4 linked regions of the Elephas maximus indicus genome follow. The protein of the gene in region 2 purifies or fractionates together with the protein of the main gene of each other region. This does not show direct contact. Links are inferred from orthologs where the notes say so. Each region holds a gene or a part of one and is shown on either strand. Other genes may lie near its edges. The genes, in order: PALS1, AMOT, MPDZ and LATS1.

Region 1 (7,620 bases), on a different chromosome or scaffold from region 2:
CACTTCTAGCTAGAGGCTTACCCAAGAGAAATGAAAATTTATGTTCACACAAAAACCTGCTGATAAAGATTTACAACAGCTTTATTCATAATCACAAAAAACTAAAAATAGCTCAAATGTCCTTAAATTGGTGAATGGATGAACAAACTGTGGTACATCCATACAGTGGAATGCTATTAAAAAAAAAAAAAAACCCAAACCCATTGCCGTCAATTCTGACTCATAGCAATACTATATTCACCAGTAAAACAGAAAAAACTGCTGTTACACTCAACAATGTGGATGAATCTCAAATGTATAATGCTAAGTGAAAGAAACCAGATTTAAAAGGTTATATACTGTATGATTCCATTTACATGATATTCTAGAAAAGATACAACTACAGGGAAGACAACAGATCATTGGTTACCAGGGGCTAGCAGGGAAGAGGAAGGTTGACTACAAAAGGGCAGCACGAGAGAATTTTGGGTGGTGGGACTCTTCTGTGTCTTGATCGTGATGGTTGCACAGCTTTATACATTTGTCAAGATAACTGTACACCAGAAGGAGTTTATTTTATTTCATATAAATTAAGGACAATGTTAAAATCCTTTAAAAGGAGGGAAACAAAATACACTTCTCACCCACAAGTGGCAGATACTTTTAAAATCTAATAATGCCTAATGTGGGCAAGGATGAGAAAGCACTGAGACTCAAATTGTTGGCAGGTATGTAAACTGGTACAATTTTAGAAGGTACTTTGTATATAACTAGTAAAGCTGAAAATGCATATCAACCTATGACTCAGTATTTCTTCTTACAGGTAGGTATACATCTAGGGAAATCTTCGTACATGTGCTAAAGGTGACATGCACAAGAATATTCATTAAACATGGTTTGAAAAATTGAAAACAACTCTTCAGTAGGGGAATGAACAAACTGTAATTAGTGGTTATTAAAAAAAAGAAGAAAAATTTGAATAAGGGAAAGCAACCTCACCGATTTCATGTAATGATTTTGAGAAAGGTAACTTAGTGGTTTGTTCACTTATAGTAATAGAATATAGCGAAAAGAGCACTGGACTTGGAATCTGGAGACAAGTAGTTTAGCATTTACTTCCAACTATGCCACTAACTGGGCTGGGTATGCCACTAACTTAAGAGTCAGACTATGGGCTACTCAATTGCTACAAGCCTCACTTTTCCCTGACAAATAAGATAGGTAACAAAGTCACTAAGATTATTTCCAACTCAATGATCCTATGATTCAATAAGTGTACACTGTAATCAAAAATTATATTCCAGAGCACTTATCCATATTGAGGAACAATTTTTCCCAAAACCCCCCAAATCAGAAATCAGAGAAATAGGGCAACTTAGTATACCAATACATAAATGGACCAAATTTCTTGGAATATGTGTGATGAGGTTTTAAATAAAGACCATAATTCACGAAGAGCATATAAATAAACATTACTAGACCACATCAGCTAAACCGACTATACTGACTTGAGTCACCCTCAGGTGGACTGGTACATCTCTCCCTTTTTAATGTTCTGTAACAAGCTGAATTATGAATGCCTTTCCCTTTACTTGTCAACTTTAAGTTTGGCTAGCCGAAAGTCACTCAAGTACAGTGTTTAAGATTTATGCAATTTTTTTACAAAGATAAAATGAGGAATTGCTTTTCATACTTTTGCCTGTTTTATTTCTGAAGCTCTTACATTATTACTAATAGCTTCAGTCTAATACAATAGCCTTTTGAAATTTATGACATGCTATGTCCACAGGGATCTAGTTCATAATCCATGAAGTATGAATAACTTTTATTACCACCAACTTATATTTCAAAGACACCAATAACCAGTATTTCATTTGTGCCTACTGCAGAATTTAATAGGTAATTAACTTCTGGTATAATCCAAAGGCATAATTAGAATACAATTATTAATATCACTATGAGTCGGAGTCGACTGGACGGCAACTTTTTAATAATCATTAATATCAGAAATATTAACAGCTTGTCAGTCAACTTAAAATTTCAAAATTCTTATTCACAAGTTTTCCAAATGGAAATTCTTAACAATTCTAAACGAATATGGAGACAAAACACACACAACTACATACTCCTTCTAAAAACCTTCTGGTGATCAGATTTTAATTTTAGCGTAAACCGCCAAGAAAAATCTTTCGACCGAAACCTAAATTCCGTACTCATTACTGTACGTCGCATCAACTGAACAGGTGAGTTGTTATTAGGAAGTTACATAATTTGCTGCAAAAACCGAAACGCCTTTCATTGAAACGTAGCTTACAATCTCCAGCTTCAACGTTCACTTTGCAATCTCCAAGTATCAGAAACCATTAACCATTAGGCTCTTTAAAAAAAAGGGGTCACAAGGAAGCAAGAAGCTCTTTATTTGTTGAAAGAACGCAATGAGCAGCGGAATACCGGGAGCTGAGTCAGGCAGGGGAACGCATTCGGCCTTTTAAAGTGTTCCCCCCACCCCCACTCCCTGCCGACATCCCCTACCCGGCCAGAAGGGAGTCGCGAGCTCAGAGGCTGGAACGCAAAGGGCAGGCGATACCCGGCGCGTTCCTGCAAGCCGGGCCTGGCCGACAGGAGCCCCCGCCAAGGTGCGTCCCTTCGCCAGCCAGGACAGAAGGAACGGGTACTGCGCAGGCAGCGTTCCTCCGAGGGACAAAGGTTAGCCTCACGCCCTCGGCGGCCGCGGCTCCCGCTGCCTGGGGCAGTCCACAGAGCAGCCCCGGGTCCCTCCCCGGCGGAGCGCGCGGCGCGCGGGGGGCACAGGGTCCCGGCCGCCGCGGCTCCCGACCGCCCCTCCCCCGCCGCGCTCCCGGGAACCTGTTGATTAAGATCGCCACACCGAGCTGCGCCCCGTCTGCCTCTTACCTTCGCGCCACGGCCGCCGTAGATCCTCCCGCCCCAGCCGCTCCTAAGCACTGCAGAAGCGACGGCCCTCCGGCAGCCCTTGAAATATCGCATAAAGAATCCAGAAACTCCCGATTCCCCACCTCGCAATCCTTAGTCCCCGCCCCCGCCCCGCCGCCAGCCTCCTCCGTCGCCGCCGTCGCCACAGCCGCCAGCGGCTCCACCTCGAGACCGCGCGAGACCGGCCCCCGCGGCTTCCGCGAGACCGCGCACGCGCCCCCGGCACTCTGGCGAAGCGGACGCGCCTATCCCAGTGCCTCCCCAGTGCGCCCCGCCCACTGCTCCGCAGAGAGGCTGGCGCGGTTCGTCCAATCCTGAGACGGCGGGGAGAAAGTGCCTGCTCATTGGCCCTCTCTGCAGCTCCCGAGCGGCCGGTCGCGCGCACTCGCGCGCCTCTCAATATAAAATGCTAGCTGCTTCAGGCCCGCAGGCATCAGGCAGTTGCTTTGATTTAAGCCTGCAGTTTAGGCTGCATGGGGACGCAAGGGTACCTGAGCCAACCAAGCTCATGTTCTACAGCCCTTGGCGCTTCTTTCCTTCGATGATCGTCACCTACTGAAGAAAATCTGATTTCCCTCTGAGGTGACTGCTTGTTCTGTCAAGCACATGACATAATCTAACATTTGTTTCAGAAATAAGCCATGGCCTGATTAAAAATCTGGTGTGTGTAGTGTCCTACAGAAACATCCTCTACTACCGCAGAAGACTCCAAAAAGCTATCAGCTGGACACAGTTTTCTGAAAACCTGAAAGAAAGAATTCCTAGGACCAAAATCTTGCTTTTGGAATGGATTTAGAGTTACCTAGGCCAACGCCTGAATACTTCTGTTTTGGAAGAAGTACAGCCAGAATGCTTCTTAGAAGCAAGGATGGCAAGACTTTGTCTCATATACTTTGGACATGTTATCAGGAGGGACCAGTCCCTGGAGAAGGACATCATGCTTGGTAGAGTAGAGGGTCAGTGACAAAGAGGAAGACCGGCAACGAGATCAACTGACATAGTGGGTGCAACAATGGGCTCCAACAAAGCAGTGGTTGAGAGAATGATACAGGACCAGGCAGTGTTTTGTTCTGTTGTACTTGAGGTTGCTATGAGTCGGAACCAACTTGACAGCACCTAACAACAACAAGCCAACCCATGTGCAACACAAGGCTGGTCCACTCAGGACCTGTTTATGTTCCCTTCTGAATAGGGCAGAATTCTGGGAGTGAGTTCCATAGGGCAAGAAATTCAAAGCAGATTGAAATGCATTCTAACCATTTTATAGAAGCCTGATCAAAAGAAGGAAAGTACAAAACAGAAATTCAAATTTTCGTGGACTCCGGACTTCCTGGAGCCATGAATGTTGAATGAACCCCTGAAACTATTGCCTAATGTAATCTTTGAGCCTTGGATCAAAGATACACCCTGGGGCCTTCTTGGAACCAAACAATAGTTTAGCTTATCTAATGAAAGATATCTGCCTTGAGCATTGTGCTCTTTTAAGAACTACCTATGGAAACAAATTGACAACAGCAACCTGAAAGATTGGATGGGAAGCTTAGGGGGCAGTAAGTTTGTGTTAATGGAGGAGCAATTCTCCAGGGGAGTGGTTGCACAGGTCAAGGAGTGTGATCAGTGTCACCGGATGGTGCGCGTGGAGGCTGTTGAATTGGTGTATGTTTTGCTGTGTATATTCTCAACAACAAAATAATTTTTTTTTTAATGCATTCTAACTAGAAATAACAGCAAATTTACCTCAACACTTATAATAAATCCATTGTATGGTCTCTGCTTTGACAGTAAGCAAGAACTCTGTGTTCCAAGGCGCCGTGCCCCACTCTTGAACGGTTCTAATATTTACTAATTAACCTTTCTGTTAGGCTGAAATCTGCCTTTCTGTCACTTCTGCCTATTGATGCTAGTTTCTCCCAGAGGCATGCTTATTGTATTTAGCCACATCTTCCTCAAAGCACTTCTGTTATGTCAATTATCATGTCCTTCCTCTTTTCCTCTCATTTTCCCATCTTCAGTCGCAATATCCCCAGGTCTGTACTTGCAAGTTCTTTCACCTTCTTCTAACTCTCCTCTGGACATCTATGGGTGAACTGTGGTGCCCTCGACTAAGCAAATCACTTTTCCAGGTGGCCAAGATCTCTTTGGATCCCTACCCTTCCTAGAGTTTTTTTTTTTTTTTTTTTTATCATCCTCGTATCTGATCAGCATTCCATCCAAGTCTTTATCCCAGTCATTTATAAGTGTTTAATAAGACAGGGATGAGGATGGGACTCTGCAGGACGTCACTAGAGCTCTTAATCCTCCTGCCATCAAATGTTTATCGGTAGACTCTGAGTACAGACAATCAGCTGCAAACCTACCTGAGCTGTCTTCCTGCCATTTTCCTCCACGGAGATACCATGAGAATTTGTGAAATGTACAACCGAAATCCAGATAAGCAGTCTCCAGGATTCCCTAGAAACTGTTACTCATCCCCAAAAAGGAAAAATGGTTAGCATGGTATGACTTATTTCCTTTCTAAGTTCTTAAATGCATAAAATAAATAATAATTCAGGGAGCTTCCTCTAACTGAGCATTTCTCAACCTCGGCAGTATGGGCCTTTGGAGCTGGATAATTCTTTGTGGTGGGGGGCTGTCCTGTGCATGGTAGAATGTTGAGCAGCATTGCAGACCTCTCTCCATTAGAGGCCAGTAGGCCTGCTCCACTGCCAGTTGTGACAATAAAAAATGTCTCCAGACTTTGCCAAAGGTTCCCTGGTGGGGCAAAATCACTTCCAGTTAAGAACCACTGATATCTAGCTATTCAATGAATTGACCTCTAAAGAGAGTATTTCAAACCCATACCTTCTAATTACCTGGCCTCAGGCAGTACAGGTAGTCCCCGTCATAACAATGATATTCGAGTTACAAAGAATCTCACTTATTTTTTTTTAATGATTTGTTTAATATTTTATGTACACACGAATATATTAAAATATGTCTGTAAGTTTATATGTAATGTTTCCAACCCTCAAAGAGAAATAAAGATTGGATTTATAAAGATACTGACAATAAAAGGCAATAATAATGAAAAAATTTTTTAAATGAGGCATTCGACTTAGAACTAACATGACAGAGTCACTGGAACTGAAACCCATTTTAAGTCAGGGACTACCTGTATGCAAAACATCCCCGTTCAAATGAACCCTTCAGGTACCGAGCCCTTGCTCCCCTAGCTGCTCAGATCCCTCTGTCACAGAACCTCATCCTGGAAAAATTATGATTACTATCAGTTTGAGGTAGCAGCCACTGCTCTCAAAATATGTGGGAATTCCTTTGTGAAGTGTTATACGGATGTTTATTATTATTATTATCTCCTAAAAGTATTTTCATTTTAATAGAGGGCAGTAAACCCTATGGCAAATAAGGAATCTACTCTCTCATAAATTGAGACATTCTCAATTTCCAAATGACACAAATTACTGGTCTTGTTGAAGGGAAAAAAAAAAAGAAGGGTAACTAAAAGAGTAGAAAGTATAGAAACTGGAGGCAAGGTGATTGAATGTGAGCTTTAGCTTTGCTGAGAAGTAGTTCTGTAATTTGGATGCATGACAAGCTTCTTGGGCCTAAATTTTCTCATCTATAATGTAAGGAAGTTAACTACTAAGTAGTTTTTTCTAGATTCTGGTAGCCTTTGCATATGGTGTCTAACGTGAATACTATATCCATTGCTGTTAAGTTGATTCCAACTCATATTGACCCCATAGGACAGAGCGGAACTGCCCCCATGGGGTTTACAAAGCTGTAATCTTTATGGAAGGAGCCCTGGTGGTGCAGTGGTTAAGCACTGGGCTGCTAACCAAAAGATTGGCAGTTTGGACCCACCAGTTCCTCTGAGGAGGAAAGCATTCCATAAAGATTAAACCCTCGAAAACCCTATGGGGAAGTTCTACTCTGTCCTGTAGGGTCGCTATGAGTCGGAATCAACTCGACAGCAACTGACTTGGTTTTTTAATCTTTATGGAAGCAAACTGCCACATCTTCCTCCCATGGAGTGGCTGGTAGGTTCGAACCGTTGGGTAGCAGCCAAGTGTTTAACCATTGTGCCATCAGGGCTCCTCATAGATACTATAGGGGTTAAGAAAATATAATATTCATCTTAAAATAGAATGAAATGGGTAATCTGTGGTTTAAAACTGAGTCAGAACAGCTGTTCATCCTTGTCACGAGGCAGTTCACTCACTGAGTCATCCTGGCAAATTTGTAACCAAGTATTAAGGAGGAGGAGTGAAAGCCAAGCTGTAAAGTCAAGTGCACAAGGAGAGAAACCACTGTAAATACTTTTTGTCCTTCCTTATCTTGGCATTTCTTTAACCCATCATCTGCCAATATCCCCTATTACACGTTTATGTAATCAAATGTTGTGCTACTTTATTTCATTAAAGTTTTTAGAAAAACATACTAATATTACATCTGACCTATTTGCAACAGGTCTAAAATCTCACTTTCTAAGACTCTACCATTCACTATTATATATGAAATTTTTAACTAAAGTTATTATGTTCCTTATAGTCCTTTAACTAATGTTATTATAAGGTTTTATCACCTCTATGTACTAGTGAAGTCTAGGTTTTCATAACTAAATACTAGGTTAATTACTTATAATTTTCTGAACCAGATGATCACAGATAACCTAAATCAAAAGAGTAGATT
Region 2 (7,616 bases):
AGGAGGAATATATCCTTTACTCCTCCTCATTGGTACCCACTCCCCAAACAAAAACAAAAAAAAAACTTCTAAGTATTCTGAGAACTTCAGGGAACTTTTTTTTTTGGGGGGGGGAGGAAAAAAAAACTTAAGAGGGGAGTAGGAGAGTGTGAGAAACTCTTCTTGTCTCCAAACGGGAAAAAAGGCCTTAAAAAGCTGGATCAAAGGAAGTAAGGGGGGGTGAGGGAGAAAAAAAAAAGAGCTGCTTAATTACAAAGACACCCTTTTAAAGAAGGCACAGGCCCTGGGAGAGGGCTCTTATGAGAGGCACAGAAGCAGATGTACCCACTTAGAATTCTGGCACTCAACGGAACCTCAAGGTCATAGCATCCATCCCTCTGCCTTCTGATTAGACTGTGCTCAAAGCATTCTAGAAAGTCTGGTTTGTTCTCTACAAAACTCCAGGAAACGCAACTCCACAAAATCCCTTGGTTATGCGTTAGTCTAATATATTCTAATTCATAAACCAGAAATGAGATTGTTCAAATCAAAAGTCGTATTCAATATGAATTTTAAAAATCTCCTTTCTAAAGTCTTTGAAATAGCTAAACAGATCCACTCTATATGTAAGTGTGGTCTGAGATTTATTTCACATCTAGATTACGAAGTTAGAAAAAGTACTTTCAATTTTATGGAGCCACAAATTTTTCCGAAGGAAGAAATTTCTTAAAATGAAATATGATGTAGTGCCAGAAAGTGTCTGTAAATGAAACCAGATAAACCCATACAGAATAGCTGGAACCTGAGTTATCATCTGTAAATAGATGCAACTACTCTACAACCACCTGGCTATTAAAATGTCCCAGGCCAGTTATAAAGTGCAGTTTGGTCAAGCCAGCTCTTCCCTCCCAGCTGATCTGAAACGTGATAGCCTTTAAAATTGTCACCCTGCAAAGTTCCTTCTCTCCCTGCTTTCCTTTCTCTTATTAAAATCAACCAAAGAAATTATTTTAAAATATAAGGAAATAATATGTTCCCAAATAAGCAACGGGTTGGGGACATTTCGGTAATAGATCTTTGAACACCACCATTTTTATAAGCTTGTCATACTTACCCAATTGGAAATAAGTAGGAGATGGGTGAAGTTGTATCCCATGTCGAAAATGGTATTTCAAACTATTCTTAGTTACTAAATGGGGGTGCTCAAAGGACTAACTGAGAAGGCTTCACAAAGGCTGTCCCAAGAAAGAACTTTTCACAAAGCCTAGTTCAAGGAGTCTTACATACCCTTAGCCCTCCAACATTAAAGAATATGGTGACTAATTATCTTCCTTTCTGAATAGAAGAGGATTAATTAATAAAAATTTTTAAACTGCTTCCAAATTTCCACCCTTCATGGGAGGGGAACTGAACTAAAACACCCTAAAGTGTCTTTGTAAAGTATCTACTAGAGATTGGAAATGCTGTTTCTCACAAACCTTTCCTTTTTTTCTCTCATTTAATTGTGTTTAGTCCCTTGTTGCAAATTATTATAATATTACTAGTGGCAATTTACAGGGGACTGCTCACAGTCTACAAAGACTGTCACTTTCCCTAATTTTCCTTCTCTTTATTTTCAAATATTGATGAAGTCCATCTTGCTGTTGAAGCACCTACGCAGTGGCCTGGGCTTGGGACCCTCACGACACCTGCCTGATCCCGAAAAACTAGTTAACCAACATTATTAAACCTTATAAAGCTGATAAGGGGCTACCGCCCCTACCCACCACCAGCGACACACACATACACCAAAAGGAGCGTAGCGTGATAGATTACTCCCAGAATTTAAGACCTCAAGAATTCAACACCCCCCAGCCGGACTTCACTTGCCGCCCATCCCCCGCCTGGAGGAGTGGAGTGTTAGCCCCCATCCCTACCCTAAGCACAGAGGAGAAACTCATCTAGTCATCTGAAATAAGAGCAGATATTCCTGCTGGGCCAAACGTAAATCTCGGTTTCCCTTGAGTCTTTAGTTTCTTATGTGATTAATTGCCTAGAGACCTACAAGGACCCCAGAAGACAAGGAAGTTAAAGAACCATCAAGTTGTGGTACCCACTAGCATCTCCTTGCCGAAGTAGGACGGAAAAGGAGTGCACACTCTTTAATCGATTTAACTTGCTGCACATGCTGGAAAACTCACGGCCAGCTGCAAAGAAAGTAGAGCGCACGGGCATCTCTACAAGCTTCTAGAGCGAATCACTCACGCCGAGGGCACGACCAAGTTCATGCCACCATTAATTCCTGCCCCAGTTCCCCGTAAAAAGTAACCACACTTCTCCTACCCCTGAAGGCAACGAAGACAGGGTGACGGCTCTCTGCTCGCTCAGGTGGCTTCAGTCCCGGGCCAGCGGCCAGGGATGGGCAGGGGGAAGCCCCAACTCCCGGCTGCTCTCCTCCTCACTGCTCCGTCCGGTCTCTCCTTAGTGGCAGTGGACAGGCAGGATACCGGGCCGGAGGGTGGAGCAGCGGATGATCCGAGGCTAGACAGACTCGAGGTGGGAGGGCGGGGGAAGAGAACTAGGGGAAAAGGAGGCGAGGAAAGCAGGGATGGAGGAGTAATTCAAGGGGTCTACCAGCTTGGACAGCCAGAAAGCTTGGACAGCCAGAAAGCTCCTAGGAAGGAAGGGGCGTGACTGCGATGAAGGCAGCTCCTGGGCAAAGGATGGGAGGTAGGGGAGGGGGACGAATGGGTGGCTTTTCTTCTTGCGGTGAGCGGCTAGGACCGCCCAGGAGAGGAGGGGTTGGCGGTGGACTAGGGTAGGAGGCGGAGTAGAGGGCGGGGAAAGAAGGGCGGGAGCCTGACTGGACCCTAGAGGGGGGAGGTGCGGAAGAGAGGCGGGGCCAGGGGGCGGGGAAGTTTCAAACAATTGAACGGCGGGGTCCAGGAGCTCCCGCGAAAGTGGGGGCCTTCGCTCCCGCCCTACTACGAACGTGGCATGGCTTGGTTCCGGGAGTACCGAAAGTCTACGCAAGGAGTGGTTGGGAGGAAGGAAAGGGTTTCGAAAAGACTACAATAATAATCTACGGCACAAGCGGAGCAGAGTCGCGTGGGAGAGCCAGTGCAGCTCTCCGCCCCACAGCGGGAAGCAGAAAAACAAATAATAGAAAAGCTGAGAAGCAGCTTCTGTCAAAGTCAGCTTCAAATAATGCAGGAAGAAGCAGCGCTCCTTCGTTTTCCTTCCCCTCTTGCTTCCTATTACCAGCAGGCCTCCACCCAGGTCACGGTTCTGCGAGACACCCTCCTTTCTTCCTCCGCTCCCCCTAGCCTTCGACCCCTCCCCCACCAAGCGCCTCCGCCCCTCCTTCTGACGGCAGGGGAAAGGTGGGCGGGGCTTGTGGAGCCTCCGCCTCTTGGGCGGGCTGAGAGAACTGGCCTGGGCGGAGCGGATCCAGAGGAGCAAATCCCACCCACCATTCTTTTGCAGCTTCCCGTTGGCGAATCCTACCTTAGCATTCCTTTCCGATTGGTCAATTGAGCCGTCAATCGCTCCTCTGCCTCACCCGCCCTCAAAATTGATAAAACTAAACAAGAAGCTATTGTCTCTCTTCTCCCCCAGCCACTTCTGGGAAAAGAAAGATGAGAAGCTTGATTTCTCAGTCTCTTTTTTTTTTTTTTTTAAAAAGAGTACGACAGTGTATCCGCAGACTGGGGTACACCTCTACGGCACTGTCTAGCACTTAGAATAGTAACTTTTCTTCCTCCTCAATACACCAGGTAGGGAGGGGTAAAACGTACCTGAAGTATCAATGTGGTGTTCATATTTCCGAGCTACGAAAAATTGCTGTTGCTTAAGAACACTGGGATTTGAGAACACCAGCTACCATTTTACAGCTGGGAAAACTAAAGCACCAAGAAACAGCATAGGGATAGCAGAATAACATGGAATTTGGAACCAAGGGAAGAATTCATTTCGGGCTCTGGCACTTATTAGCTAGTTGTTTGCCTTTGTTAAATCGTTTAATTTCCCTATCTGTAAATAAAGGCTATAAGACATGCCCTATTAACTTCCTGGCATTGGTAAGGAAATAAAATGTGTGTGAAAACTCTGTAAACCACAAAGCACTCCACAAATGTATGTGTTCCTACTGTGTACGACACATGGCAGAGAGTCTCTCATATGAGTTTGGGAATCATATTCTGCTCATCTGTTTTAAGCATTTACATCCAAGGTGTGTAGGTTCTGCGGCTTTCTTTTAAAAAATCAACTTTTTTCCTACAGCTTTAAAGGTGGATATGAAATTGGCTCCCTGCAGTTAGAATAATAAATTGCCCCTTTTCTAACCAGGGTGGGTGAGATTTCTTTTTTAAACAGTTCTGCAGTGGCGCCACGACCTAAATCTATTGTGGTGCTGGTACTGAAAGAGGAAATCATGCTGTGTATCTCTGAAGTGAACTTGAAAAAACAAATATGAGGAACATTTACCATGGAAACCACCATTCTCTTCTTGTTGTTGTTAGGTGCCATAGAGTCAGTTCCGACTCATAGTGACTCTGTGTACAACAGAATGAAACTGCCCAGTCCTGTACCATCCTCACAGTCATTGATATGTTTGAGCCCATTGCTGTAGCCACTGTGTCAGTCCATCTAGTTGAGGGTCCTCCTCTTTTTCGTTGACCCTCTTCCTTACCAAGCATGATGTCCTTCTCCAGGGCCTGATCCCTCCTGATAACATATCCAAAGTACATGAGATGAAGTCTCACCATTCTTGCTGCTAAGAAGCATTCTGGCTATACTTCTCCAAGGCAGATTTGTTTGTTCTTCTACCAGCCCACGGTATACTCAATATTCTTCACCAACACCATAATTCAAAGGCATAAATTCTCCAGCCTTCCTTATTCATTGTCCAGTTTTCCCATGTATATGAGGTGATTGAAAATACCATGGCTTGAGTCAGGAGCACCTTAGCCCTCAAAGTGATATCTTTGCTTTTTAACACTTTAAAGAGGGCGGCGGGGCTGGGGCGGGGGGGGAGAGAAAAGGCTGAAAGAAGTAAGGGTATAGGGTTGGTTGAGCATCCCTCATCACTGAAGTTGCAGGATGGGTACATGGGGTCATTAAATGATTCTCTTACTTCTGTTGCATACATTTTAAAATTTCTACACTAAGTTAAAAAAAAATCCTATATTCCTATGGCCTCTCTAAACCAGGCAAAAAGCATGAGTGCTATTCTCCCAAGGTAAATGAAAGCAAAATTACAAACACTTTAAAATAAAATTTTAACACTTTAAAAGAGGTCTTTTGCAGTGGATTTCCCCCATGGAATACAACCTTTGATTTCTTGACTCCTGCTTCCATGGATGTTAATTGTGGATCCTAGTAAAATGAAATTCTTGACAACCTCAATCTTTTCTCCATTTATCATGATGTTGCTCATTGGTCCAGTTGTGAGGATTTTTGTTTTCTTTATGGTGCAATCCATACTGAAGGCTGCATTCTTTGATCTTCATCAGTAAGTGCTTCAAATTCTCTTCGCTTTCAGCAAGCAAGGTTGTGTCAACTGCATACCGCAGGTAGTTAATGAATTTTTCTGGTGCCCCATTCTTCCTCGTCCTTAACGACCAAAAACATTCTGTTGTCAAATGAGTTTGGAAAATGGTGGGCTAAATCAAGGTAACCCTCCTGTTACAGTTGGCTTAAATGGTATGCCAGCCCCCTCTTTTTGGCCCTGGACCTCAGAGGTAAGGCATTATTCCAGTTCTAATGCATTTAACACAATAGAATACAGTTGAAATCATTCTTTATACTTTTTAAAAATTATTTTATTTTATTGCTGTTGAAAAATACACAGCAAAATATATACCAATTCAGCCATTTCTACATGTACAATTCAGTGACGTTAATAGCATTCTTCAAGTTGTGCAACCATTCTCACAGACCTGTTCAGGATTGTTCCTCCTCTATTAACATAAACTGATTGCCCCTTACGCTTCCTATCTAACCTTTGGAGTTATTATTGTCAGTTTGATTTCATAAAGATAGTTCTTTAAAAGAGCACAATGCTCAAGGCAGACATTCTTTACTAATAATTAAGCTAACCTATTGTTTTTTTTTATTGTTTGGTTTGAAGAAGACTTCAGGGGATATTCTTGGTTTAATGTTTAAGATTTCAAGATTATCTGAGGTCCATAGTTAGGGGGTTCATCCTGCCTCGATGAGGCAATTTAGACATTTCCCATCTTTTGCCATTACAAATGATGCTGGGAAGAAAAAAATTCTGGTAGCAAAGATCTGGCAGCTGTTTGTAGTATGCCTGCCCCCAGCCTTAAAGTTGGTTCTCAAAAGACTTTTTCAACTAGTCTTCCCACAGCTACCAGGGCCTCCATACCATGGAAACGCCCGAATCATTTAACTCTTTTATTACCCGCTCCTCAAATCCTGCTAGGGTCATTACTGTTCACCACCAAATTTGAATTTTCACGGCATAAAGTTAGCAGAGCTCTGAAACTTAAAGGTGAATCGGGCCATGTGTGAGTCACTTCTTAGCCTGTGCCAAACAACAGGTTTTTGGTACCTCTGCTTTGCTCAGGTCATTCAAGCGTCTTAGGTGTTCCTTCTCTCCTCCCACACAAGACTTCCTCTTTGTTTTTACCCTGAAAACCCTTCAGTTTGTTTAAACTGAGTTTGAATTTAAAGCTATGCATTGCCTGCTCCACTTTAAGGGGGGTAGGAGGGTGGGGAGGCCAACATCAACAAACATTGATTGAGCTGCTATTATGGACAAGGCTGGAAAAACAAAGAGGTATGAAACTTGGCTCCTTCCTACAAGGATATAGACATAAAAAGATAACTAACAAGAATATGCTAAGTGCTAAATGAATGGTATTGACAGTAAAAGCTGTGGAAGTTGAGAGCAGGGAGAGAAAAACTAGTTCCAGAGAGAGAGTTTATACAGCAAACTATGCCACGCACATTTAACTAATCCCCGCAGCATCTCTGTGTCTTCATAGCCCGAGTAAAATATGAAGAACCCTATAGGGGATACCAGGAGAATTAACCCCTAGCTGTAAAATACTTGTGTAAAGACACTGGGTTACTTAAGTGCTACACAAAAAAAAGCCCCATATACTGATATGGAAAAAAGGAGGATCATTTTAAGCTTGGAAGTCAAGAGTCTCCATCCTGAACTAACTGTCCTGCTTGGCCTTTTTTTTTTTGTCCATAGAGTGCAACTCCTCCTTTAACATGCAATAAAGATCAATCTCTGCCCTTTGCATCCAATATTTTTGCTCAATGTACAGGAAAAGTAGGAAGGAGGACATGGCTTATAGTCTTTCCCCAATCCCTGGCTAGGTTCTTCTTGAAGCAAAGACCATGAAACCATAATGCTTCATACTGAAGGACACTCTTCCCTACCCACCAGGTTGACTGGGAGTGTTAAATGTCCACATCCTCCTCTAATTGTGTGGCGAACAACTAAATCATGTACATGCATTTGCAAACACAAGCAAAGGCAAGAACATACACCAGCGAAAATAAATCCAAAGGATTTGTGTCTCTAAATAACCCTCCCCCTGCCCATAAAACACGCTGCAAATATATCAGACGCACATGAAAAAGCAGCCTTTTCCTGCACACCTCTGAAAGTCAGCCTCCTG
Region 3 (7,524 bases), on a different chromosome or scaffold from region 2:
GACAAAAATAACTAGGGGGAAAAAGCCACAGTGAAACTGAATGTCTCGTCTGGAGGTTTAAATGACTTCATTAACTATTCATTAACACATATAAAAATCTGCCTTTCAGCAGCAACACACGAGCCCTTCAAAAGATCTCTCTAGGCTGCACCATGAACACCTGCTGGGGAGAATGATACCTTACCTGTTCTTTCAGGTTCTGCACGGAAGTCTGAAGGCTCAGGATTTGGCTGAAGAGCGGGCTCTGCAGGACTGACTTCAGGAGGCTCAGTTTGTCTTCATTGGCCACGTCCCCACGTTCTCGAAGCTTGGCCTGCAAGCGCTCGGCTGCCCGCAGGGCCCGGTTTTTGTCTGTACCGAAGGACAGCATGAGTCAATAGCAGGATTCAAAGGACACGTGTCAAACCTGTGAGAACGCCATATTTGTACAATCCTAAAACCATTCCTGTGCTATCGAGAGCATAAAGTTGACGCAAGGGAGAAAAAGGGGAACCGTCACCCTGGGTGGCGCAAATGGCTAAGTGCTCAACTTCTAACCCAAAGTTTGACGGTTCGAACCCACCCACAAGTGCCCCTCCAAAGGCAAGCCAGGTGATCTGCTTCTGAAAGGTCACAGCCTCGAAAACCCTATGGTGCAGTCTTACCCTGCATACGTGGGGTCACCATGAGTCAGAATGGACTAAACGGTAACTGATTTGGCCACATGTTACTCTAAATATGTCCCTCACACCTTTAAGTCTCTTGTAAGAAAGTTTGTTTGAAAGCAGGGAACTTGGTTTAGCATCTGCCATATGCAAGTAGTTGTAAAGTTCGGAAACTAATTCAGTTGAAATGTACTGGAATTCTAACGTCACCTATCTCAGCTCTTTTATAAAATCTATATAAAGCCAAATGTTCTGTGATCTTGCAAATACTGACATTTTCCCTTTTTTAAATTTTGTATTCAAATATAAGGGAAATTAGAAATATAACTACCTCACCAATAAATTGGTATGGATAATAAAACCCAGTACCGTCGAGTCGATTCCGACTCATAGCGACCCTATAGGGCAGAGTAGAACTGCCCCACAGAGTTTCCAAGGGGCGCCTGGCAGTTTCGAACTGCCAACCCTTCGGTTAGCAGCTGTAGCACTTAAACACTACGCCACCAGGGTTTCCAGGTATGGATAATGTCACTGACACGGCACAATCTCCAAAATATAACAATTTCATATACTATAGGACAAAACATTCTGTAATGAGAATTTGCTTGGAAATACAGCACAATATACATATTGTTTGAAAAAAAACTATTTTTGAAAACTTTAAATGTCTTTCCCCAAAATTAAATAGCATATTAACATATGCATCAAACTAACGCAACCCAAATATCTATTAATCACCTTATGGATCAGGCCCAGGGTTCCACAAGTAAAGGTTTTGAATATGTGTGTCCCTAACAGTCCTAGCATCTTGTAGGCATGCTTTCTCCACAGTGAGTTTCCACCACAAACAATAGTTAAAAGCATCGCCCTAAAACATACACACACACACACACACTTATAAGTGAGACCAGATTTGTTTGAAAAAAAGAGGAGGGGGCTCTATTTAGATACATGTCCTGATAGATTTATAATAACAAGTGCATCTATTAAAATATCTGCCATATCACAGTAAGGGATAAGAGTGGGAATTATCACCAAAGACACTTTCCATAACATGAAATCTGGAGCTACGCAGAAATGGGGAAAACAAAGACACGTATTGATGTTAATGATGAGTTCTCATGCATGTAAATTAAAAGAAAAAAATATTTACTAATACACAAAATTTTAAAAGCCAAAAATGATAAAGATATACATAAGAATTTTATTCTGGGTCATATTTCCCACGGTATCTCAGGATGCAAATCTAATATTAATCCGCATGTCAATTTTGCGGAGGTGTCCAACTCAGTAACAGAATAAAGACTAGAAAGAAATGGTTTAAATAGTTTTATATTTGCCCTCTCCTTTCCACTTCAAGTAACTTTCCTCTGTGGACTAGTATTCTTTATGCTGTATGACTTCAGCATAAAACAAGTGATGAAGGAAATGTGTGTCCCTGCATTTTCATCGCCAGCATGGTATTGGGAACAGAGTCACAGTAACGGTCCCCATGATGACAAAGCCAGCTTCTTCTCCCTTCATTGCCATCTACTCTCACCCTACCCCTCAGCACTTCAGCTATCATGGTACCAGCCGTGACCGTCAAGTTGCCAGAGTGAAATCCATACATCCTGCCATAGTCATAGCTAGAGTTATCTGGAACAGGTGAGGGACTGAGGTGTCACATGATTTTACACACCTGATATACCTGTAACTAATTTCTCTAGAAATTAGTTCCTCTTAAACTAGACAGCAGTGTGGAAAAAAGATTAACACTTGAGCTTGGAAAATTTGGGTGTTTCAACCTAAATTGTCTCATGTAGAAAATAAACTGCCTTAAGTCTTCACTGAAGTTTGTCCACCTGGATGCAGCCTAAGTGACTGTTAGTGTTCTCTTTATCCATTAAAATCAAAAGGCCAGTAGTACTTCACCTGTCACAAACAAAGTAAAATTAAGACATAGGTAATGACCTTCTTCCAGAATTAAAAAATACTGCTGAACTATCTGGTGCTACCCAGGAACAAACTTTAACCAGAACTGTGTTTACATTAAACTTCATTAAAATCCATAACGGAATATCTCATACACTTTTAACTTTTGTTTATAAATGAGTTTTATAACACCTCCGATGAAATTGCCCAGATACAGGCATACACTGCCCAGTACAATGCTGGTGAATACAAACTTTTTTAAAACTAAGTTACTATAGATAGAATCCTGCTATGTAGAACATACCGTATTTCCAAAATCCCTATGGAATGTGTTTCAATTTTTACAAAAGTAGCAGGAAGGAATAGGTCTTACCTATGGTTTCCAACATTTTTTTCAAAGTTCAGTTATCTTCTTTGCGATGATTAAAAACAGCAACTAAAATGGACCACTGAGAATAAAAGAAATAAAGCAAAATTGTTATATTTATCAGAACTTTAAAATTTTATTCTAAAACTAAGTACTCTAAAAAGTACTTGATAACTACTGCAATCCTTTGACCATTAAAAATTTGTTGATTTAACTTTAGATGTTCTTTATAGGGGAAAAAAAAAGTTAATCATTTTAGGGCTTTTTCAAAATGATCTTATAATTATGAATAATACTTGCATAAAAAAGTACAAGGCATATAATCTTTTTTAAATAAGACGGTAGAAGTTTCCAAAGTATTTCCTTAAGAGCTTCTCAATATAGACTGCTATTATCTTGGATTCACTTTTAGAACCTTAACCATACAGTAAGGAGCTTACTGCTGCTTCAGAAATTTTGTGGATGAAAAGATCAAAAATGTAAAAAAAAAGACAATGTAATTCTGCTCTCAAATGCTCCCAGTCTAACTGGGGAGACACAGATAATAATTAGGAAAGAACTGTGACACTCAAGCACTGCATGAACCACTGGAAGATAACACACTAAATCAGGGAAGCGAGCCTTGGTGGCATAGAGGTTAAGAGCTTGGCTGCTAACCAAAAGGTCAGCAGTTCGAAACTACCAGATCATGGAAGAGAAACTGAGTAAAACAGAGTCCAGTGTTAGAGAAGAGGATTTTTCAAAATACCCCCCATGATTATAATATTCTCCTCTTTCCCATTCAAAAATTCTTCTCAGCTCCTACAAACCACACCAGTCTCATCTTTCTCTCTGACATTACTTAACTGAACTCTTTGAAGCATCAGATACTGATCTGCACTGGCAATGGTCGTACCGCTAAGTCCATCTTCCATCTTTGTGGTCCAACAGCTTTCCACACCTGTCTCCATATTAACACTTATCCTTTGCCTTACAGAAAACCGTGAGTCATCAGGAAGTCAGTCTGCCATTACTTCAACAGGAAGAAAAAGAACCTACCACCATATATCCCCATTCTTCATCTGGATGATGAGACAGGGAGAGAACTTCTCCAAAAAGGAACAAGTTACCCCACATTACATATTTAAAAGAGAATATATTTGGGAAAAGGGAAGTACGTAACATATATGAGCAGAGGCACAGAACTTCAATGTATCCATTAGCTCTGTGTAATAATACAGAACAGTATTTACTGACTTTCCTTATCCCAATTTAGAATACACTAATTAAAACATCAAATAGCCAAATGGCTCAACTATTGGCACTTGTTATAGAAAGTGCTTCGCCATCAAGTAAAGATGACTCTGGCTTAGAATTCAAATCTAAATAGCAGTGTGACCTTGACCAAGTGGTCTGCCATCTCAACCTGTTTTATAGATAACAAACTTCCTCACTGGGTATAGTGTGCTAAATGAGTTAAATTATTTCCAGCTCACAGCACAACCCATAACCATAACACATATTCAGGATTAATGCTAAACCCAGATAGGCAGGAATTCCAATGCCAAGCATTGCATGGTTTCATGGGTAGCGTATTATAGGGAGATCTTAAAAATAAATTGGTGATAATCTTATTCACAAGGGGAATATCATATTCCTTTATAAAACATCATACTACTAGATGCCTGCCAAAAATTATTAACTTCTGACAATTAAAAAATAAGATACCCCAATAGAAGGAAGTACAGATCTAGAAAGGTATATTTCATTAAATGGCTCAGGAAGAAGCATGATAGTAGTAATGAAAGAGCATGAACTAGTGAGTCTGAAGACTTGAATTTAAAATTTAAGCTTGACAACTTACTAACTCTATGCCCCCTGTTAAGTCATTTATCTTTTCCTTGAAAATCCTATGGAACAGTTCCATTCTCAACCCATGGGGTCACCACGAGTCAACCCGAAGGCAACAAACAACTGCAACAATCTACAAATGACTATTTATAAAGATCTGAAAGGATACAATTGTATATGAGTACTTGGCATGCACAGTAAAACTTAGCTCTATTCCCTTTCCTCTGTGAAAATTAACTCAGAAAGAGAAGCAGCATTCAGGACTTGGATATGGAGCAGAGGGGGCGGTAGTCTATGGAATCAGAAGCACACTGATTTGTGAGCAGTCTGCAGAGAAAGTACCAGTAGGCAGCGCCCAACTGAGAAAATCACTGTCGTCCAAAAGTTCACCTACAAGTCAGTTATGTCGAAATAGGAATACTTTTTTTTCCCCCCACCAGAGGTGGAAAAAAAAAAAATTCAGCTGCACATCGCTGACATTAGCTCCAAATGAGACCTCCATTCTTCTGGACCCCAGTGACAAAAAATGAAGTTTCACAGTTTGTATTCTCTGCTCTGATGTCCCTAAAATAAATAAATACACAGCTTTCTTGAAGTTTTCCAGAGGATTTTACCATTAGTAACTATGAAAAATAGACAAGATGTAAAGAAAGTCCCTGTCTTGTACCCCCATCTCAAGGATGCAGTTCTAATTACAAACAAAATCCATTTGTAATCACATAATTTTTCAGATGGAGAGATGCTGAGATGTTACATTTCAAGGTACCAAAATTCTCGATACAATGAGAATAAGAATATTCAAACAGCATAAAAATATTAGTTCCCCCTGAGTTAATGTTCATATATATGTATTCTGCTTGTAGCCACACCACTATTTGGTTATAACTGAACCTAAAATCTGTTTCAGTAGGCAGGCACTCAGAGCGACAAAACATGTCAATAATGGCTCTATGTGTTCAGTATCTACTCTTAGGTACCACAATGACAGGCAAGCTCCATTAGCACACACTGCTTCCCAGGAGCAGGAAGCCTGACTGTCTTGTTCCCCACAGTATCTCCCAGTGCCTGGCACATTTTTCTCTCCATTTTCCAGACAAGACAATACAGGAAAGGCAAGGTTGAGGTCTTACTCAACGTGACACAACTAAAAAGTGGGAGAACTTGGATTTGAACCCAACTCCATCTGATTACAAAGCCCTTACTCACTCTAGTATACTACCCTGCATTTTCCATATTGTTACACAAAATCACATAGTGGAAATATATTGTTAAATGAAAAAAATAATAATAAGGTGCAGGACAATAGAAAGTATGCTATCATCTGTATACGAGAAGGGCAGGGGAAATATATTTGTACATCGGAATTAATGTGGACATGTTTGCAAAAGCGTAGACTATTCCTGCAAGTTTTCCCAAAACACTAATAGTTGGGATGTGGGTAACTGGGGGACACTGAGAACTACTTTGCACAATAGTTCTTTCTTTTTTTTTTTTTCTTTAATTTGGTATCTTGGTATAGGAAACCCTGGTGGCATAGTGGTTAAGTGCTACGGCTGCTAAACAAAGGGTCGACAGTTCAAATCCTCCAGGTGCTCCTTGCAAACTCTGTGGGGCAGTTCCACTCTGTCCTATAGGGTCGCTATGAGTCGGAATCGACTAGACAGCACTGGGTTTGGTTTGGGTTTGGATCTTGGTATAGGGTTCCCAGATTTGTCAAATAAAAATATAGAATGCCTGATGAAATCTGCATTTCAGATAAATAGATGTATATTTTTAATACAAGCATGACCCATGCGTTACTTGGGAAATACTTAAGAGTGCAAAATTATTTGTTGTTATCTAGAAGTTAAACTGAAGTGGGCATCTGTGCAGGAAAGGGTTAACTCAGCAGGCCTAGGCTGATCAAACCCTGCATAATTCCAAGGTTTTCAGGACTGGTCCACTGCCCTGCCCCTGAAAGATGACCTAAGCCCTTGCAGTATCCCTGGGGATAAAGTGTCTTTGTATGTGTGAGGCCTCAGGCCACCCCAGATAATTTATGTTAACGAAGTGATTTATGGTGAATGCCTATGTTGGCGGCGCACTGGTTAAGAGCTTGGGAGCTAACCCAAAGGTCAGCAGTTCAAATCCACCAGCAGCTCCTTGGAAACCCTATGGGGCAATTCTACAGGGCTGCTACGAGCTGGAACTGACTTGACCGCCACTGGTTTGGTTCTGAGGCTTTGGCCATGCTGTATCAGTTTGACCTCTGGGGGGCTGGAAAGGATGAATAGCTAAGGTCAGTCACACAGGTGCTGCATGCCTACATGACTGAGACCCCAAGCCCCCCAAAAATAAAAAATGAAAAAACTGACACCAGGCTTAGGTGAGCTTCCCTGGTTAGCAACACTTCACATATGTTGTCAAGCATCGTTACTGAGAGAATTAAGCACTGTCCATGCGACTCCACTAGGAGAGGAAAACTGGAAGCTTGCACCTGGCTTCCTCTGGATTTCTCCCATGAGCCTTTTCCCTTTGCTGGTTTTAGTCTTTATCCTTTTGCTGTAATAAACCGTAACCATAAGTAGAACACCTTTTTGTGAGCTCTGTGAGTCCTTCTACCAGATTACTAAATTTGAGGGTAGTTTTGGGGACCTCTAACACAGCATCCTTTATTCTATCTGGCAACCCTACCTATGTATGTACTAGCTTAGAAAAGAAATTAAATTTTAGAAGTCATTTTAATTTAAAGTGTTTACACTTCTGCTGGAAACCCTGGTGGCATAGTGG
Region 4 (7,957 bases), on a different chromosome or scaffold from region 2:
ACTATTCTTCAATAAAACAAAAACTCATTGCCGTTGAGTCGATTCCGACTCACACTGACCCTATAAGAAGACAGAGAAGAACTGCCCCATAGAGTTTCCAAGCAGCACCTGGTAGATTCGAACTGCCAACCTTTTGGTTAGCAGCCGTAGCTCTTAACCACTATGCCACCAGGGTTTCCGTTCTTCAATACGCCTCAAAGTTATACACTCAATCATAAAGATAATAAAGAGGTTCAAGATAATTAACAAGGGTTTTGAAAAGGAGGATGTCACCACGATGTTATGTGTTAACTACCTGTTTATTCTCCTTGACAGAATCCCTGTGTGGAGCAAACGATTGGTGTTCAGCTGCTAACCAAAAGTTGGAGGTTTGTGTCCACCCAGAGGCACCTCGGAAAAAAAGCCTGGCAATATACTTCTGAAACTGAAAACCCTATGGAGCACAGTTCTACTGACACACATGGGGTCGCCATGAGTCATAATGAACTCAGAAACTAGTAAGAGTTCTTGGGAAAGCTCCTGCAGTATCTCCTCTGGTAGAAATTATACCCATCCTTTGAGGTCCCACTGAAATACCACTTTCTTCAAGAAGCTTTCGTTGAACTCCCAGCTGTTATCCTTCTCCTCAAAACTTCAAATGCACCTTGCATGGTTCAAACAAAACATGTTCTTGCCCTACGTATGTACTTGTCTTACTTTTCCTGCTATGTCACTGATTCAAAGAGAATAAGGTATCTTGGAGATACAAACACACACACAGACATACATGCGTGTGTGTATTTTTTTCAACAGAAAAGGAAATGGATCCACAGAGGGAAAGTGGCCTGCAGAAGGTCACACAGCCAGCTGAATCTTTCCATTACACCTACATTTTGAGTCTCCTTAACAGGTAGGGATCATCTTTGAAGGGGCACTGAAATTGGTTAGGCTAAATGGACTTAAAATCTCCATTTCTTTGAAAGTTTAGACATTTATCAAAAACACAAATATCAGTAAACTGAAACAAATATTGAGTATCTTGACAACACTTAGGGAAAGAACTAATACCATTACATAATAAGATATTCAAGTTTACCTTTGGTTAAACTAGATTTACAAAAAAGATAACCTGTTTCAATGCTTTGAATACATCAGTTGTGAGAATAGCCCACAGTAATAGGTACCGCTACTTAGCTGGAAAAATCTTCATAGTTTTAGTTGTTTAGACAAGAATATTCAAGAAAAGCCTGTGTAATGTTGATAACATTCTCTTCAATTCACTTTCTAAGAATGAACTGTCTGATCAAAAGTGAAAATAATCACTGTATTTTACTTATGTGCTGAAAAATGACTGCCATTTCTTCTTGATAAAAATGTTGTTCAGTGACTAAACAACTTCTGAAGTCTACAAAAACGCTCCACTAATCTAAACAACAATTAAGTAACCAGAGTTTGCTTTCAGACTGTATTATACAGAACAAGGACTAGACTTAAAAACAAAAATAAAAAACTTAAAGTTTAACCTACAGAATGAAGTCCAACTATCATACCCCCAAAAAATGCTGTAACGAAAATGCTGTAGTAGCTTTTTATTTGCTTTAGGAGTGGCACGGCACAGTCTATCAATATGCACGCACAGAAAGAATGTGCCTTCTCCACCATGTGCCACGATCTACTTTCTTGCAGTCACAGCCGATCAAAACACAATGCTACCTCTTTAACAGTTAGATTCCCCCACTGACTTAGGCAATCAACTAGCCCATTTTACCTGTTAACTTATTAAAGGAAAGAAATAACCTTGGTAAGGACAGCTACAAATGTCAGTACCTTAGCAAAGAATACTAATTCCAATTATAACATCCCACCTTTTCTTCCTTCTAGAGGAAAACTGATTAAAAAAAAAAAATTACTCTTCATAAATAATCCATAGTGGCCTGGCAAACTCCATGATCTCAAGTATTCAAATGTATTTCCAAAGATGAAGTGATACAATATGATTTTTTTTGTGTGAGACTATGCTTCTCACTAAATTTATGAATGAACTTCTAGACGAAGATAAATATTTTAAGCCATATTAAGATATGAAAAAGACAAACATTAAACTTGGTCCCTTAAATAATGACTTTCAATTGGAGAAGAGAGAGTATGGGGTTAAATCAAGTCACCTGAGAGTTATTCTATGAGCTACAAGCTCTCTTCGAAAATATGCAATGTTCCTTTTACTTTCTTTCCATCATCTTCTGTGTTTATATACACACTTCTTCATAAACACTCTTCCATCTCTCTCACCACTTCCAACTATGAACAGTAACCACATTACAGTGGACTGGAAATAGATAATAGAATTTCTTCAATGTATACACAGATCGGGTGCTTCTGGGATCCAAAGAACTGCACCTCTCCCACTGCTAGTTTCTCTCGGAGCCACCTTCGGCTCTCCTCCCCTGCCAGACACCGCTGACTCGCGTGTTGGGGGTGGGGTGGCGGGGAAACGGTCGGCGCAAGGCCGCCAGGGAGGCAGACTCTTCCCAGCTTAACCTGCACCTCCGAGCCCGAAAAGCTTGGGGCTCTTCCTCCAGTGCTGGGCGCGGCCAACACACGCTTCCCCAGGGCACGGCTCAGCTCAGGTCAACGCTTCCAGCCCAGATAGGCCCGGCCCCGGCCGGCTCAGCCCGCCCGTCCGCAGCAGCCCCTGGACCCCCGCCAGCGAGGATGGGCGTGGGCCCCGGTGGCCACCGCCCGCCAACCCTGGCTCCCGAAAAGAGTGGGCCCCACCCGCTACGCCCGCCGCGGACCTACCTGCAGGGGAGAGCGGGGCTCCTGGACTGCGGCCACGGGCCCGAGAGCGGGCGCCGAGGAGGCCGGAGCCCGTACCAGGGACCCCAAGTATCCCTGGCTGGGCAGGGCAGGGAGAAGCGCTGGGGGGCTGCCGCGGGCCAGCGCGGCTGGTCGCGGGGGTCGCGGGGACCTGGCTCTCCCCTTAGCACCAGGCCACCGCCGCTGCCGCCATTTTGCCTTCCACTCCGTGTCGCCGCCGCAGCGCTCCGCGGCAGGTTTCCCGGATGTGGGCATTTCCCGGCGTCGCTTGCGCGGGGGCCGAGGACTGGGGGCTTCTGCCCGCCCGGCGGCCGGGAGCGAGCGCGCTGCCTGCGGCCTCCCGCGCGCGACTTCCGCCGGCACCTCTGGGTGTTGGTGTCAGCCGCGTCGCTCCCGCGTTTCGCTGCCCAGATGACACACGCTCCGTTAGTGGAGTCGGGCTCTTCCCCACCCAAGCCCACTCCTGGATTTCATTCTCTTTCTTTCAATTGAGCTTTTGCTCTGAACGGGTATAGAATAAAGATACGCGTGTCCAGGAGCTTAATTCTCAGAAGGGAACAGCAACGAGTCGCTCTCTGGTACCTCGCGGTGGCCATCAGATACAGGATTTCTAGAGGCTTGGAAGTAAACTTTGATGCTTGCTTAATGCTCTTTCCCCGAGTAAGTCTGTGAGCGAAAGCATATATGTATTCTCCGAACAAGCCAAATAACACGTTCCTAGAGCCGGGACAGATTAATAAACATATTTTAGAGACCTTTATCTGCCACCAGTATCAGTACAAGAGGAGGTCATTATTGTCCTAATAGGAATAACAGTGACCAGTGGTGAGAAGTTTTATTTCCTGTTAAGTTGAATCGGAAGCTTGGAATGGGATCGTTGGAGGTACCCTCCATCCTTTGTAAGGAAGCACTTTGCCAGTTCTGCCTCTAGAAAATAAATAGTTAGCATTTTCAAGTACCTCCTTTCATCATTTTTCTACTAAAGGCTAACTAAAAAAAAAAAAAAAAATTTTTTTTTTAATTGAAGGCTTCTTTTTCTGATGTTATATGAATGACTGGCCAGTGTATCCGGAAGTTCAAATGAGGAAACCTTTGTTGAAAGAAAAGATTACATTCCAAGAGCCCTTCTAAACTGTAAGCTCCATGAAGGTAGGAATATCTGTTCTGCAGATTGCTCTCTTCTTAGCACCAATTACAGCCTGACAAATGGTAGATCTTCAGTAGATATTCAACTGAAATCTGAATTCAGTTTTAAATGGCGAAAAAATATTTCCACGGTTATCACAACCTAGACATCTGTATCTACATTGTTGGTCGCAATATTTATCTTTCTTTAAATACTTTTATCCCTGTTATCTTACAGTATCTTTTGTAGCTATTGTCAGTGCCTCAGTTTTTTTTGAAGTTACCTGTTCACCAAATCTTGACCTCATTGTCTTGTGTAAGTATAGCTGCCAGCTCTTGCCTGCCCTCTATATTTGGGTCTCTACCTCTCCATTCCCAAGTTCTTTGTCCGGTGCCCCCATGTCCAGTGTTCTAGATTACTACTTTTGCTGTCTGCTCTGCCTGAATAATCACCCATAAACTTCTGCATGTTGGCCTCATGCCCACTGTTGACCCCCTGACTTGCTGCTCTTTGTCTGCATGATAGTCATAGCAGCTAACCTTTATTGGTAGCTTTCTACATACTAGCCACAAAGCTCAGCACTTTCACATAGCAATTAAATGAGGAAACCCAGACATGAGTTCAGGCAGTCTGACTCCAGTGCCAACTCCAGTGCCTCCTAACCACCTTTCTGTACTGCTGCAACTTCTAATCTGAGCTTTTCTCTTTGCTTGCATGGTCCACAGTAACCTTGTTTTCCTTATTGGCTATGAACTATACCTCTTTGCCAGACCCTGCTGCTGTCCTCCCTTGATTCTCTCTCTCTCTCTCTTTTTTTTTTTTTATCTCTAGTTCCCCTTAACCTGTCTCTTCACCATCCAAGTCTTGGCTTTGACGTTTACTACTCTATCTCACTTTATTTTTAAATAGGTAATACATTCAAGTGGAACAAAGTAGCAAAAAAAAAAAAAAAAAAAAAGGAGAAACAGTGAAACCTTCAATCCCTGTCTACCCAACCTGCCTGTTCCCGTCCTTGGAGGCAGTGTTACTGCCAGTTCTTGTGCATCCTTCCAGAGATGCTATGCACATACATACAAGTACAGTTACGTTCTTTTCTTCCCTTCCTTTTCCCCCCTTATACATACTGTTCTGTGACATGCTTTATTTGTTTTATATTTGTTTAATTATATATCTTGGCAATCATTCCCCTTTGTTATATAAAGAGGTTCTTCATCTAGTTGTTGTTGTTAGGTGACCCCATGTAATAAAGTAGAACTGTCCCATAGGCTTTTCCTGATTGTGATCTTTATGGGAGCAGATCCTCAGGTCTTTCTCCCACAGAGCAGCTGGATGGGTTCAAACTGTTAACCTTTAAGTCCACAGCTGAGTGGAGTGCTTAACTATCGGGCCACCAGGGCTCCTACTTTTTTTGTCTGTATATGCTCACCTCTTGATTGTTATGGTGTCTTCTAGGTGAAATTTTATAAATCAGAGATGGCATCTGTGGTTGGTCCATATCTAAGGGCTATTTCTCTGGGTGCGAACTATCATGGTTTCCATATACAATAAGTCCCTGGGTTAGAAACATCTGACTTATGGATAGCTCATACTTGCCCTCTAATGTTATATAAATTTGTCCCCACTTTGAACAATGGAACCAACTCCTACTGGCAGCAAACTCATCACAATCACGTTCCTTTGCTGTGAGTGCAGCTTTTACATCACTGAAAAAGGTTCAAGCCTTTTCTTGCACTAACCAAAACCGAAAACCCATTGGCATCCAGTTGATTCCAACTCATACCAATCATATAGGACAGAGTAGAACTGCCCCCTAGGGTTTCCAAGGAGTGCCTGGTGGATTCAAACTGCTGACCTTTTGTTTAGCAGCCGTAGCTCTTAACCGCTACGCCACCAGGGTTTCCTTTGCACTAAAATAAGGCTAAATAAGAACCATATGCACCTATTCTGAGTTACCCACAAATTAAAGACTTAAAGACACACTTGGGAATGGATCTTGTTCATAACCTGGGGTCTGCCTCTATTGTAATTTAATCTGGAATTTAAAATTAGCTGCCAGCTCTCCAAATTTGTTTCATTCTTTATATTTGATCCAGATCACCACTTCACTATAGTAAAATAAATTAGGATCCATTTCTTTCAAAAAAAGAATACTTTTACTGTACCTGTTGGGTACACAAATCCATGATTAACACTGTGGAGAGATTAAAATGAAGACACCGTCTGTTGTGTAACAACCCAGTGGCACCTGAACCCAAGGTCAGCTGCATCTCCAGGAGACCAAAGAAAGGCTCCAGAACCAGTGATCACAACATATGGTTTATAACGGGACCATGGCTCAGGGCAGCGGCTAGACCAGTTTAGTGCTCCACAACTGCATAGCAAAGGACATAAGCTTATATACCATTCCAGCTGGGACCAAGGCTCATTGTTTTCTCCCACATCCTTGGGAAGCCAGTGTTCCCAGGGACTTCACTTCCAGGCCCAGATGTTTTCCTCCTTGTCGCTAAGGTGTTCCTTGGCCTTGGCCACCGGCCCAGTCACATCACTCCCAGCCTTGTACCTCAGCCCAAGTCTATCCAGAGTTTATCCCCAGCATGCTTCAGGGAAGAGCAAAACTGACTCCATTAGGAGGGAATGCATATAGCTGAATGGCATTACACTACACCATCTCTGTCCTTTTGAAGTATATAATACAGTTGGGGAACAATGTAAGCATTACATTGACTCTAGAAGTTGCATTTATGTAACATTTTATTCATGGCACAGTCTAGTGCAGGCATTCTCCACTGGCTGCCATTTTGGTCATTAGATGCCATCAAGGTAGGAATGAAAGCTGAGGAGATGGAATTTTGACAGATTCTTCAAGAAGTCTGGAAGTTAACAGAAGGGGGTGGATAGGATGTAGGTGGAGAATTGGAGGATGGTTTTGTTTTTTGCTTATTCTTTACATCAGGGAGACTTCAGTATGTTTTCCATAGTTTGGGAGGAAGGAGGCACAACACATACAATATTGGCAACAGGTATTGTTTTTTTCTCCCTTAATTCTTCCTGTTAGGGATGTATCAATTTTTTCAAAGAACCAACTTTAGGCTTTTCTTCTGTTTGTTTTTGGTTTCACTGATTTCTTCACTTTATTTCCTACAGCTTTGGGCTTAATTTCTCTTTTCCTAGGTTTTTAGGGTAGAAACTTAGGTAATTGATAGTAAGCCTTTTTAATTTTCTAATATAGGGATTCAAAGCTATAAGTTCCCCTCTAAGCACTGCTTTAGCTACATCTCACAAATTTTGACAGGTTTTTATTTTTAGTAAGATGTATTTTCATATTTCTCTTGGTATCTTGTTTGCACCAGACTTGCGTTATTTATCACAGCATTTTATGGAGGCAGGACTTTTGCCTCATGATGATGTGTCTTAAGACAGTCTCCATGGATACAATGTACCTAAAAATGGGAACTTTTTGGATATATGTGCTAAATGGGGTTGATAATGAGGTGTCAGGGAGCTATCTTTTCAGGCCGATTTTGAAAAAAGAGAACATGGGATTGGCAGGTGAGTGAGCAAGCTGTATGTAGAAGAAACTATGGATGAACTTGATGGGAGCAAAGAGTCCACATTTGGCATAACAAAAACGTTGATTAGGACAATGCTTGCTGTCGGTAGACAATAAATTAGGAGAAGGCTGCTTAGGAGATTTATTGCAACATCAGGAGAGCAGGTATGACTTTTTTTTTTTAATAAACTTTATTTCTTAGGACAGTTTTGAATTTACAGAAGAATTGTGTCTATAGTACAGAGTTCCCATATACTCCACCCTTAGGCTCCCCCTTGTTAATCTCTTACATGAGTATGGTTACAATTAAGGAACCAATACTGACACATTTTTATTAACCAAAGTCCATACTTCAGTTAAATTTCCTTAAGTTTTTGCTTAATGTCCTTTTTCCGATCCAGAATTCTATCCAGGATGTCACATTACACTTAGTCATTGTGTCTCCTTAGGCTCCTCTTGGCTGTGAGTTTCTCAGACCTCCCTTC

The links.
Region 1: the proteins of AMOT (region 2) and PALS1 purify together in Homo sapiens (affinity purification with mass spectrometry; 6 studies listed by BioGRID and IntAct, counting the BioPlex papers as one, with this or other methods). This does not show direct contact. The link is inferred for Elephas maximus indicus from reciprocal best matches to the Homo sapiens genes AMOT and PALS1.
Region 3: the proteins of AMOT (region 2) and MPDZ purify together in Homo sapiens (affinity purification with mass spectrometry; 4 studies listed by BioGRID and IntAct, with this or other methods). This does not show direct contact. The link is inferred for Elephas maximus indicus from reciprocal best matches to the Homo sapiens genes AMOT and MPDZ.
Region 4: the proteins of AMOT (region 2) and LATS1 purify together in Homo sapiens (affinity purification with western blotting; 3 studies listed by BioGRID and IntAct, with this or other methods). This does not show direct contact. The link is inferred for Elephas maximus indicus from reciprocal best matches to the Homo sapiens genes AMOT and LATS1.

What each region holds. Positions count from the first base shown.
Region 1 is NC_064828.1:79,589,152-79,596,771, reverse strand, and holds the start of PALS1 (protein PALS1), read right to left. Parts: upstream 3,021-7,620; 5' UTR 2,893-3,020; intron 1-2,892. UniProt on the Homo sapiens protein: Plays a role in tight junction biogenesis and in the establishment of cell polarity in epithelial cells.
Region 2 is NC_064846.1:44,572,896-44,580,511, reverse strand, and holds the start of AMOT (angiomotin), read right to left. Parts: upstream 3,018-7,616; 5' UTR 2,302-3,017; intron 1-2,301.
Region 3 is NC_064827.1:23,295,716-23,303,239, forward strand, and holds the start of MPDZ (multiple PDZ domain protein), read right to left. Parts: upstream 3,008-7,524; 5' UTR 2,948-3,007; coding exon 2,932-2,947; intron 352-2,931; coding exon 185-351; intron 1-184. UniProt on the Homo sapiens protein: Member of the NMDAR signaling complex that may play a role in control of AMPAR potentiation and synaptic plasticity in excitatory synapses. Promotes clustering of HT2RC at the cell surface.
Region 4 is NC_064819.1:220,990,997-220,998,953, forward strand, and holds the start of LATS1 (serine/threonine-protein kinase LATS1), read right to left. Parts: upstream 3,030-7,957; 5' UTR 2,779-3,029; intron 1-2,778. UniProt on the Homo sapiens protein: Negative regulator of YAP1 in the Hippo signaling pathway that plays a pivotal role in organ size control and tumor suppression by restricting proliferation and promoting apoptosis.